3 linked regions of the Stegostoma tigrinum genome follow. Each later gene encodes a partner of the first gene's protein in a complex. Links are inferred from orthologs where the notes say so. Each region holds a gene or a part of one and is shown in the gene's direction. Other genes may lie near its edges. The genes, in order: eif3i, eif3d and eukaryotic translation initiation factor 3 subunit E.

The links.
Region 2: eif3i (region 1) and eif3d share a complex: the UniProt entries of both Homo sapiens proteins name them as parts of the eukaryotic translation initiation factor 3 (eIF-3) complex. The link is inferred for Stegostoma tigrinum from reciprocal best matches to the Homo sapiens genes EIF3I and EIF3D.
Region 3: eif3i (region 1) and eukaryotic translation initiation factor 3 subunit E share a complex: the UniProt entries of both Homo sapiens proteins name them as parts of the eukaryotic translation initiation factor 3 (eIF-3) complex. The link is inferred for Stegostoma tigrinum from reciprocal best matches to the Homo sapiens genes EIF3I and EIF3E.

Annotation. Positions count from the first base shown.
Region 1 is NC_081377.1:45,627,073-45,630,817, forward strand, and holds the start of eif3i (eukaryotic translation initiation factor 3 subunit I), read left to right. Parts: upstream 1-1,031; 5' UTR 1,032-1,041; coding exon of another isoform or gene 1,042-1,054; 5' UTR 1,055-1,149; coding exon 1,150-1,152; intron 1,153-3,008; coding exon 3,009-3,101; intron 3,102-3,745. Other genes in the region: tmem234 (transmembrane protein 234), read right to left, coding at 1,042-1,054. UniProt on the Homo sapiens protein: Component of the eukaryotic translation initiation factor 3 (eIF-3) complex, which is required for several steps in the initiation of protein synthesis.
Region 2 is NC_081391.1:24,613,292-24,617,036, reverse strand, and holds the start of eif3d (eukaryotic translation initiation factor 3 subunit D), read left to right. Parts: upstream 1-1,075; 5' UTR 1,076-1,639; intron 1,640-3,745. UniProt on the Homo sapiens protein: mRNA cap-binding component of the eukaryotic translation initiation factor 3 (eIF-3) complex, a complex required for several steps in the initiation of protein synthesis of a specialized repertoire of mRNAs.
Region 3 is NC_081358.1:265,869-269,613, forward strand, and holds the start of eukaryotic translation initiation factor 3 subunit E, read left to right. Parts: upstream 1-1,179; 5' UTR 1,180-1,222; coding exon 1,223-1,312; intron 1,313-3,745. UniProt on the Homo sapiens protein: Component of the eukaryotic translation initiation factor 3 (eIF-3) complex, which is required for several steps in the initiation of protein synthesis.

The DNA of each region.
Region 1 (3,745 bases):
GAGTATGGGTGACCGCAGGGAAGGAGGGGGGAGAGAGAGTGACTGCGGGGAAGGAGGCGGGGGAGCGAGTGACCTCGGGGAGGGAGGGGGGGGGAGAGAGAGTGACCGCGGGGAAGGAGGGGAGAGAGAGAGTGACCACGGGGAAGGAGGGGAGAGAGAGAGAGTGACCGCGGGGGAGGAGGGGAGAGAGAGAGTGACCGCGGGGAAGGAGGGGGGAGAGAGAGTGACCGCGGGGAAGGAGGGGGGAGAGAGAGTGACCGCGGGGAAGGAGGGGGGGGGGAGAGAGAGTGACCGCGGGGAAGGAGGGGAGAGAGAGAGAGAGTGACCGCGGGGAAGGAGGGGGGGAAGAGAGTGACCGCGGGGAAGGAGGGGGGGGGAGAGAGTGACCGCGGGGAAGGAGGGGGGGGAGAGAGTGACCGCGGGGAAGGAGGGGGGAGAGAGAGAGTGACCGCGGGGAAGGAGGGGGGAGAGAGAGTGACCGCGGGGAAGGAGGGGGGAGAGAGAGTGACCGCGGGGAAGGAGGGGAGGGAGAGAGTGACCGCTGGGGAGGAGGGGGGGGAAGAGAGTGACCGCGGGGAAGGAGGGGAGGGAGAGAGTGACCGCGGGGAAGGAGGGGAGAGAGAGAGTGACCGCGGGGAAGGAGGGGAGAGAGAGAGTGACCGCGGGGGAGGAGGGGAGGGAGAGAGTGACCGCGGGGGAGGAGGGGGGAGAGAGAGTGACCGCGGGGGAGGGGGGGAGAGAGAGTGACCGCGGGGGAGGGGGGGAGAGAGTGAGTGACCGCGGGGGAGGGGCGGAGAGAGAGAGTGACCGCGGGGGAGGGAGAGAGTGACCGCGGGGGAGGGGGGGGGAGAGAGAGAGAGAGAGAGTGACCGCGGGGGAGGGGGGGGGGAGAGAGAGAGAGTGACCGCGGGGAAGGAGGGGGGGGGGGGGGGAGAGAGTGACCGCGGGGGAGGAGGGGGGGGGGGGGGAGAGAGTGACCGCGGGGGAGGGGAGGCGTGTCCCGGGGTCTGGCGGGAGGCGGGTGTTTTGAAGATCACTCACCGACGGTCGCCATAGCAGCGGGTTACTTGATCCCTGACCCCGCCCAGGGTCATTTCCGGCGGCGCCAGACACATCATTTCCGGGTTCTCTACAGGCTCCGCTGTCAGCATGGTGAGTGTTGGAGAGTAATAATGTGGGTATTAGAGGGACTGAGGGGGCACGGCGAGTGTTAAAGAGTAATAATGGGGGGGTAATAGAGGGACTGAGGGGGCACGGCGAGTGTTAGAGAGCAATAGAGGGACTGAGGGGGCACGGCGAGTGTTAAAGAGTAATAATGGGGGGTAATAGAGGGACTGAGGGGGCACGGCGAGTGTTAGAGAGCAATAGCGGGGGGTAATAGAGGGACTGAGGGAGCACGGTGAGTGTTGGAGAGTAATAATGTGGGTATTAGAGGGACTGAGGGGGCACGGCGAGTGTTAAAGAGCAATAGTGGGGGGTAATAGAGGGACTGAGGGGGCACGGTGAGTGTTAGAGAGCAATAGTGGGGGGTAATAGAGGGACTGAGGGGGCACGGCGAGTGTTAGAGAGCAATAGTGGGGGGTAATAGAGGGACTGAGGGGGCACGGCGAGTGTTAGAGAGTAATAATGCGGGCATTAGAGGGACTGAGGGGGCACGGCGAGTGTTGGAGAGTAGTAGTGTGGGTATTAGAGGGACTGAGGGGGCACGGCGAGTGTTGGAGAGTAATAATGCGGGCATTAGAGGGACTGAGGGGGCACGGCGAGTGTTGGAGAGTAGTAGTGTGGGTATTAGAGGGACTGAGGGGGCACGGCGAGTGTTGGAGAGTAATAATGCGGGCATTAGAGGGACTGAGGGGGCACGGCGAGTGTTGGAGAGTAGTAGTGTGGGTATTAGAGGGACTGAGGGGGCACGGCGAGTGTTGGAGAGTAGTAGTGTGGTACTCTGGAGATTTAGAGGTTACAGTGAGTATCGTTAATTTGATTTGTTGTAGTCCCGTACCTATGTACAGTGAGAAGTTTTCTTTAAGCAATACAGGCAGATCATAGCAAACACACAGATCATAAGGTGTTGAGTTTGAGCGAGACATACAAGGTTATGGCTGCAGAGAAGGTGCATAAAAGCAACATTAACATAAGGTTTGAAGTTAGAGAGGACCATTCAGTAGCCTGATAACAGAGGGGAAGAAACTGTTCTAGAACCTGTTGGGGCTTGTTTACAAGCTTCTGTATTTTCTGCCTGACACAGACGAGTTTGGAAAAGAGAATTGCAAGGGTGGGTGGAGGATCGGGATCTTTGATGTTGGCTGCCTTTCTCCAGCATGCGTAGATGGAGTCCATGGATGGGAGGTTGGCCTGTGTAATGGTCTGGACTGTGCACACAACTTTCTGTCGTTTCTTATGGTCCTGGGCAGAGCAGTTGCTGTACCAAGCCATGATGCACCCAGATGGAATTCCTTTTTAATGTGCATCTGCAAAAGTTGGTGAGGGTCCTTATTGACATGCCAAATTTCCTAAGTCTCGTGAAGAACTCGAGGCATTGTTTTGCTTTCTTGACTGTCGCAACTGTGTGGGAAGACCAGGACAGCTTGTTGGTTATTGCATTGCTTATTAAAGAGTAATGATGGACATAATATAGAGAGGTAATTGTATGTATTGAAAAGTAAGAATGCTAATACTATTTAGATCAGGATGACTGTTGCAGGGAGCAAGAGAAATATATTTCTATGGTACAAAACTGAGTTGTGGCCCTTAAACCTTGAGATTTACAGACTTTTAGTATTTTATCAATATGTTGAAATTGAGTAATTAATGGAGCTTAATAAAAACCAAAAGAGCTGCTGCAGTTGCTGTAAATCAGGAACAAAAACAAAGTTGCTGGAAAAGCTCAACAGGTCTGGCAGTATCTGTGGAGAGTTAACGTTTCAGGTCCGGTGACCGTTGCTCAGAACTGGAATTAATGGAGCTTGTTTCATTGCTGTAATACATCATGTTTTAATTTTTTTTTGCAGAAGCCCATCCTGTTACAAGGTCATGAAAGATCAATCACCCAAATTAAGTACAATAGAGAAGGTGATTTGCTGTTCTCTTGTGCAAAAGATACTGTAAGTATAACTTACAAATGATGGAATGTTGTGATAACTTATTCCATTAGTTTGCTATCTTGGCTGCAATATTCACATTGTGCATGTGTGTAATTACAACAGAAAGACTTGGGAGCAGAAGTAGGTCACTCGGTCTGTGAAGTCTCCTCTGCCTTTTCTGGCTGATGTGATCATTCTCAACTCCACTTTTCTGCCTTTTGCCTCCACAATCTTTGATTCCCTTGCTGACTAAAATCTGTTTATCCCAGCCTTGATGGCCCCTACAGTAAAGAATTTCACAAATTTGCTAACTTCTGAGAGCGTGTTGGCTCAGCAATTAACACTGATACCTCACAGGGCCAGGCATCTGGGTTCAGTTCCACCCTCGGGCGACTGTCTGTGTGGAGTTTGCACATTCTCCTCGTGTCTGCGTGGGTTTCCTCCGGGTGCTCCGGTTTCATCCCACAGTCCAAAGATGTGCAGGTTAGGTGGATTAGCCATGCTAAATTGTCCTTAGTGCCCAGGGATGTGCAGGCTTGGTGGGTTAGCCATGGGAAATGCAAGGTTACAGGGATATGGTGGGGTGTGTCTTGGTGGGATGCTGTTGAAAAATAAAAATAGCGTCATTTTCTACCAGTGTGAAGCAAAGTAAGTTCCTTTCATTG
Region 2 (3,745 bases), on another chromosome or scaffold:
TCATTACTTTAATAAACCTCTGAGCTCACTCGTCTCCCTGTTTCTATCCTTGTCCTCTCTGGCAGTGGTTCACATTCTCTCAGATAATGAAATGTGAGGCTGGATGAACACAGCAGGTCCAGCAGCAACTCAGGAGCACAAAAGCTGACGTTTCGGGCCTAGACCCTTCATCAGAGAGGGGGATGGGGAGAGGGAACTGGAATAAATAGGGAGAGAGGGGGAGGCGGACCGAAGATGGAGAGAAAAGAAGATAGGTGGAGAGGAGAGTATAGGTGGGGAGGTAGAGAGTGGATAGGTCAGTCCAGGGAAGACGGACAGGTCAAGGAGGTGGGATGAGGTTAGTAGGTAGATGGAGGTGCGGCTTGGGGTGGGAGGAAGGGATGGGTGAGAGGAAGAACCGGTTAGGGAGGCAGAGACAGGTTGGACTGGTTTTGGGATGCAGTGGGTGGGGGGGAAGCGCTGGGCTGGTTGTGTGGTGCAGTGGGGGGAGGGGATGAACTGGGCTGGTTTAGGGATGCAGTAGGGGAAGGGGAGATTTTGAAACTGGTGAAGTCCACATTGATACCATTGGGCTGCAGGGTTCCCAGGCGGAATATGAGTTGCTGTTCCTGCAACCTTCGGGTGGCATCATTGTGGCACTGCAGGAGGCCCATGATGGACATGTCATCAAGAGAATGGGAGGGGGAGTGGAAATGGTTTGCGACTGGGAGGTGCAGTAGTTTGTTGCGAACTGAGCGGAGGTGTTCTGCAAAGCGGTCCCCACACACGCTCACATTCTCTCCACTGGTTCTAGTACTGTCCCTGGGGCAGTGGCTGTGCCGCCATTCCTCTCCCGCCCACCTGGGTGGCGCTGTGTGGGGTGGGTGGGGGGAGCGGCGTTCAGTCACGGTGCGGACCATCTTGGCGCCGCTCGCCAGCTCCGTGTGGAAGCGGCCCGCGGAACACTGCCGTAAAGCGGATTTCAACCCGCGGCGCCCAATTCCCGATTTCCATCAAAGCTGGTGCCCGTTGGGATTTATCTAAACCAAAGCGCCGAGAGAAACACGGCTCCGGCCTTGGGGCCGTCTTCAGGTCTGCTATTTAAAACGATTTAATCCGACAGCACATTCACGACATTGTCGTGGTGTGGACCCGAACCTCCTTTACGGTGGTGTGGCAGAAAGTCGCCGCCTCTTTTAAACGAATCATCGCCCCCCAGGATCCGCTGGAGAATGTTCCCCGAGTCTGAGCGGAAAACGTGACAGTTACGGGGCACTGTCTTGCGACCGACTTTACGGCAGCGCTGTCGCACCCATCTGCCGCAACGTGGCGGCTCCGTTTTACGGCACCTTACGACCTCCTTCCCGTGCCGGACTACGGCAGTTTGTAGACACTGAGGAAGGGCCGCCGGACCCGAAAACGTTTTAACTCGGGTTTTTCTTTCCCTTCACAGACGCTGCTGAGCTTTTCCAGCAAATTCCGTTGCTGTGTTCCTGCTTTACGGCAGTTTGCGGCCGTGTGGCGCCCCCGCGGGTTTGGACGTTTTACGGCGTTTCGCTGCCGGGTAACGGCCCCGGTTTACGGCGCTTTACGACAGCGCGGCGGCCGGTTGTTGGTGTCTGTGAAGCTTCGCGGATCCGGCGGCGGCGGCGGGAACCAGGTAAGAGGCGGCGGCTCGGGCCCGCGGGGGGCGCCGGGGGGGGGATTGTCCGCGGGCGTCGGGCCCCGAACCAATACCGGGGATCGGGCCTGAGGCCTCGGGCCTGGCCCTCGCCCTGCGTTTGTCTAGCGCCTGAGGCGGGCATTGAGTTGTCGTTCCGCCGGGCACTGGCCAGTTGCATTGATGTAGCCGCCTGAGCGGTGTCGGCGCAGGTTGGTGCCCGGAGAGGGACAGGAGCACAGGATCCGGGCACAGCCCCCCCCCCCCCCCGGGGATCCGGGCACAGCCCCCCCCCCCCCGGGGATCCGGGCACAGCCCCCCCCCCCGGGGATCCGGGCACAGCCCCCCCCCCGGGGATCCGGGCACAGCCCCCCCCCCCGGGGATCCGGGCACAGCCCCCCCCCCCGGGGATCCGGGCACAGCCCCCCCCCCCGGGGATCCGGGCACAGCCCCCCCCCCCGGGGATCCGGGCATAGCCCCCCCCCCCCGGGGATCCGGGCACAGCCCCCCCCCCCCCGGGGATCCGGGCACAGCCCCCCCCCCCCCCCGGGGATCCGGGCACAGCCCCCCCCCCCCCCCCCGGGGATCCGGGCACAGCCCCCCCCCCCCGGGGATCCGGGCACAGCCCCCCCCCCCCCCCCCCGGGGATCCGGGCACAGCCCCCCCCCCCCCCCCCGGGGATCCGGGCACAGCCCCCCCCCCCCCCCCCCCGGGGATCCGGGCACAGCCCCCCCCCCCCCCCCCGGGGATCCGGGCACAGCCCCCCCCCCCGGGGATCCGGGCACAGCCCCCCCCCCCCGGGGATCCGGGCACAGCCCCCCCCCCCGGGGATCCGGGCACAGGCCCCCCCCCACCCCCGTTATTCAAGAAAGGTGGTCTGGGTAAATTGGACATCAATAGGCCACCTTGACTCTGACACAAGTGGTAGGGAAACTCTTGAAAAGAAATTCTGAGGGACATAATTAATCTCTACTTGGAGAGTCAAAGATTAATGAAACATGACATTATTTAGGGGGAGATCATGCCTGATAGATTTGATTCAGTGATTTGTGGAGGTGACTGGATGTGTGTATGAGGGTTGTGCAGTGGATGTAGTCTGCATAGATTTTGGTAATGGTTTTGCCAGGGCTTCACATGGTAGACTGGTCAATAAAGCAAGAGCCCATGGGATCCAGGGCAGTTTGACAATTTGGATCCAGAATTGACTTAGCAGCAGCAGAAGGCGGGGTATAATAGTTGACGAGTTATTTTTGTGACTAGGAGCTTGTATCCAGTGGTGAATGCAAGGCTTGGTGCTGGATCCTTTACTGTTTTTACAGCGTATTAATGATCTAGACGTGAATGTAGGAGGTTTAATTGGTAGGTTTGCAAATGACACAAAAATTGGTGGCATAGTAAATAGCGAAGAGGTAAACATTACAGTACAGAATTGTATTGACAGGCTGGTCATATGGGCTGAATTATGGGCGAGTGGAATTTAATCCTGAAAAGTGTGAGGTGATACCTTTTGGGAAGACTAACAAGGCCAGGGATGATACAAAAAATGGTGAGACCCTAGCAGGTGCAGAGGGTCAGAAGTGCCCTGGTGTGTGTGTCCACAGAACCTTGAAGGCAACACGTGTTTGAGGTGGTTAAATATTGGGATTTTTGCTTTTGTTAGTCAAGACATTGGTAGTTATGATGGAGCTGTGTAAGATATGAGTTAGGCCGCAGCTGGAGGACTGCGTGCAATTATGATCACCAGTGTAGAGGAAGGATACGATTGTGTGAGAGAGCTGTGTAAGATATGAGTTAGGCCGCAGCTGGAGCACTGTGTGTCGGTCTGGTCCCCATATAGCTGGAAGGATGTGATTGCCCTGGATGGGGTGCAGAGGAGATTCACCAGGATGTTGCCTGGGCTGGAGGGATTCAGTGAAGCAGAGAAACTGGATAGGTTTGGGCTGTTTTCGTGAGAGCACAGAAGGCTGAGGGAGTGGGGAGTGAAATCTGACAGATATACAAGATTATAAAGGGCGTTGATAGCGTGAGTAATCAAAATGTCACAGTTTTGGAGGAAGGAGCCAGATGTTTAGAGGCGATTTAAGAAAAAATGTTTTGACCGAGAGG
Region 3 (3,745 bases), on another chromosome or scaffold:
GGAAAGTGTAGGTGCAGGTGTAGCACTTCCTGCAGTTGCAGGGAAAAGTACCAGGTGTGGTGGGGTTGGAGGAGAGTTTGGAGCAGACAAGGGAGTCACAGAGAGAGTGGTCCCTCCGGAAAGCAGATAAGGGTGGGGAGGAAAAAATGTCTTTGGTGATGGGGTCGGATTGCAGATGGCAGAAGTGTTGGAGGATGGTGTGTTCGATTCAGAGGTTGATGGGGTGGTATGTCAGGAGGAGGGGGATCTGGTTTTGTTGTTATTGCGGTGAGGTCGTGTGAGGGATGAGTTGTGGGAAACGCGGGAGACAGGGTTGAGGGCGTTTTCATCCACTGAGGGGGGGATGTTGCGGTCCTTGTAGAACGAGGACATTTGGGATGTACGGGAGTGGAATGCCTCATCCTGGGAGCAGGTGCGGCGGAGGCGAAGGAATTAGGAATGGGGATGGCATTTTTGCAGGAAGGTGGGTGGGAGGAGGTGTATTCTAGGTAGCTGTGGGAGTTGGTGGGCTTGAATTGGATATTGCTTTCCAGGTGGTTGCCAGAGATGGAAACAGAGAGGTCCAGGAAGGAGAGAGAGGTATCAGAGATTGTCCAGGTGAACTTAAGGTTGGTGTGGAAGGTGTTGGTGAAGTGGATGAACTGTTCGAGCTCCTCATGGGAACACGAGGTGGCGCTGATACAGTCATTGATGTAACGGAGGAAGAGGTGGGGTTTAGGGCCAGCAAAGCGATGGAAGAGGGATTCTTCAACTTTTTCTTGTGGATGGTTTGGGAGATGATGGTTTGGTGCTCGGGGGTGGGGTCATGATCGAGGGGACAGTAGGAGGTTGCGTCAGAGAGTTGGCATCTGGCTTCAGCAATGTAGAGGTCCGTGCGCCACACGACAACTGCAGCTCCTTTGTCCGCGGGTTTTATGGTTGGGTTGGGGTTGGAGCAGAGGACTGCCCATTCTGCGGGGCAGCGGTTGGAGTGGGTGAGAGGTTGAGGCGGTTGATGTCTCGACGGCAGTTAGAGATGAAGAGGTCGAGGGAGGTTAGGAGGCCTGGGGGTAGTGTCCTGGAAGAGCGGGGTAAAAGTTTTTCCTCTCGAGCAGTATTAGATTGACAGGGGAAGGGCGGGGTTTTACTAATGGGCGGGGCCTGGCGCTCGATGGGCGGGGCCGTGCCTGGCACAAGTCGCTGTCAATAAAGTTGCTTCCGTTTGAATTTTCCTTTTGCCAAAATGGCGGATTACGATCTAACGATGCGAATCGCTAATTTCCTGGACCGGCACCTGGTCTTCCCGCTGCTTGAGTTCCTGTCAGTTAAAGAGGTAAAGTCTCCGATCACCTCCCCCCGCGAGTCCGGTAACGGTACCAGAGCGGAGCTCGAGGCTTCTCAGGACCCTGCACGTGAAACAGGCCCAGGGCCAGGCCTAGCCCTGAGTGAGGAGCCCGCCCCCGGCACTACGCTATGTTGAGGGTGCGGAGTCCTGATGCCCACACCGGAGATAACAAAGTGTGGAGCTGGATGAACACAGCAGGCCAAGCAGCATCTCAGGAGCACAAAAGCTGACGTTTCGGGCCTAGACCCTTCAGAAGGGGTCAGCTTTTGTGCTCCTGAGATGCTGCTTGGCCTGCTGTGTTCATCCAGCTTCACACTTTGTTGTCCCGGATTCTCCAGTATCTGCAGTTCCCAGTATCTCTCTCCCACACCGGAGCATCTGGCTTTACCGATCGCCTTTCGCGCTTTTCTGCGTTCCCTCGTCACGAGATGCCCGTGGTCAGATGACCAAAAATTTGTTCAAGTGAATGCAGTAATGCATGCGAATAAGTTATAGGCGGGAGAGGGAATTTCTGACCTTAGCTGAAGGTCTAACCATCGCTTGGCTTTCGCAGTTTCCCAAGATCAGCAAGCGACTTGCTTCCGTTCCAGTTTGATGTGTTCTGACATGGCTGATAAACGCAATGCACGACCTGCCGGGACAATGCCACACGCTGAGCAGGTCAAGTTTCGAGATTTCTGTGCATCTACTCTGATGCCTCAACTTTGCTTCTCCAAGTTTTCGACGATATCTTTTGAGTGAAACTTCTTTTTTTGATTCATCACAAGCTGGGCACTCCCTTGACTTAGTGGGGATTTTTGGTTTTTTTTCAAGGATGCTCTGAGGATATCTTTAAAACATTTCCCTGTCCTCCTTGGAGTGTTGTAAGACTGTGTTTTTGAGTGAAATGGCTTTGTGAGTCTGGTGAGTGATATGACCTGCCCAGCAGAGAGCTGGCTTTTGACTGATTCGTGCCTTGATGCTGGATCAGGAATGAATCCTGCTGTTGGGCCAGTTTTCTTACTACTGGCTTTGTAGGGTTTTGCAAAGGCGTCACAGATGGATAGTATGTCTCCTGTACTTTGAGGTGCCTGCTTTATTTTGTCCTATCTCTGATATAAGTCAGAGTGTGGAGGTCATCACCCAGGAAATCACCAAGGTTTCGCCATCAATGGTGGAATAATGATGATTGGGGATATCAGAGGCCCAAATTAGAGAAGAGAAGAGATCTTGGACGGTCGTGGAGTTGAAGACAATTATAGCGATAAGGAGAGTAAGATCCTGTGGAGACATCCTATAAACAAGGATAAAAATTTTAACGTTGAGTTGTTGCTTGATTAGGAAGCAGAAGGTGAGCAAGTACTGGAATGATAGACCAAATTCAGATTAGACCATGGGCATCAGAGTTTTGGATGACTTTAAATTATATTGATGTTGGAAAGTGGAGAGTGACTGGGAGTGTTTTGGAGTAGTCAAGTCTGGATGAAAAGAAGACATGGATGAAGCTTGAGCATGATTTAGCAGCATGTGAGCTGAGGGAGTTATGTTACAGAAGTAGAAATAGGAGGTTTGTAGTGATGGTTTAAACATGAGGCTGGAAACTTGAATGCAGGTCAAAAATTGCAAGCAGACTGGTCTAATTTCAGATTTTTGACAAGAAGAGTGACTGTAGACTGAAAATTGGCTTCACTTTGTCTGGTATATAATTATGTATTGTGAGACATTTAACGCAGTTTTGAATGTATGCTGGGATCCTTGGTTGTAGTATTTTCAATATTTATTTTTTTTATTTTCAATATTTATTTTTAATTTCAAACAGTAGCCTCTGTCCTAACTGATTGAAGAGTCAACAAGGCACTGCCAGTTTTAGGGTTGTACTTCTCTGCTTACAAATTCTGCGCCTCATACATTCTCTCTCACCCTACGCCTGGAGGAGGAACTGAGCTCCGAAAGTTACATTTTCAAATAAACCTGTTCAACAATAACCTGGTGTCGTGTGATTTTTGACATTATTTTTAATTTGAAAAGTATCCCCAAAAGTCTTTGGATGTTGTGGATTGGTTGACATTTTTATGATGGCAAATCATAGAGTTGTGTAAGTACTACCAGCAAAAGCACATGGAGTAAATGTGGCTATATGAGTTTGAGTTCCACATCAGAGACAGGTAACAAAATGTTGGAGGTGGGGTTGAGGAATAGAAGGATCTAATCCTGTTCTCAAAGTTCCATAGCAGTAACTATAAAATAGGTCACAGCTACAGGAAAAAAAATCATAAATCCTCAAAAGTGATGGGGCAAATTGATGAGGTATAAGAATACCTTAAGTGGTTTATTTGGCTTTTAAAATAGGAACAGTGAATGCAAAACTAAAGAAAAAAGCAATAACAACAAAAACACTTAAAGCACTGGTTCGACCTTGGTCAAGTTATTGTGTAGAATTCG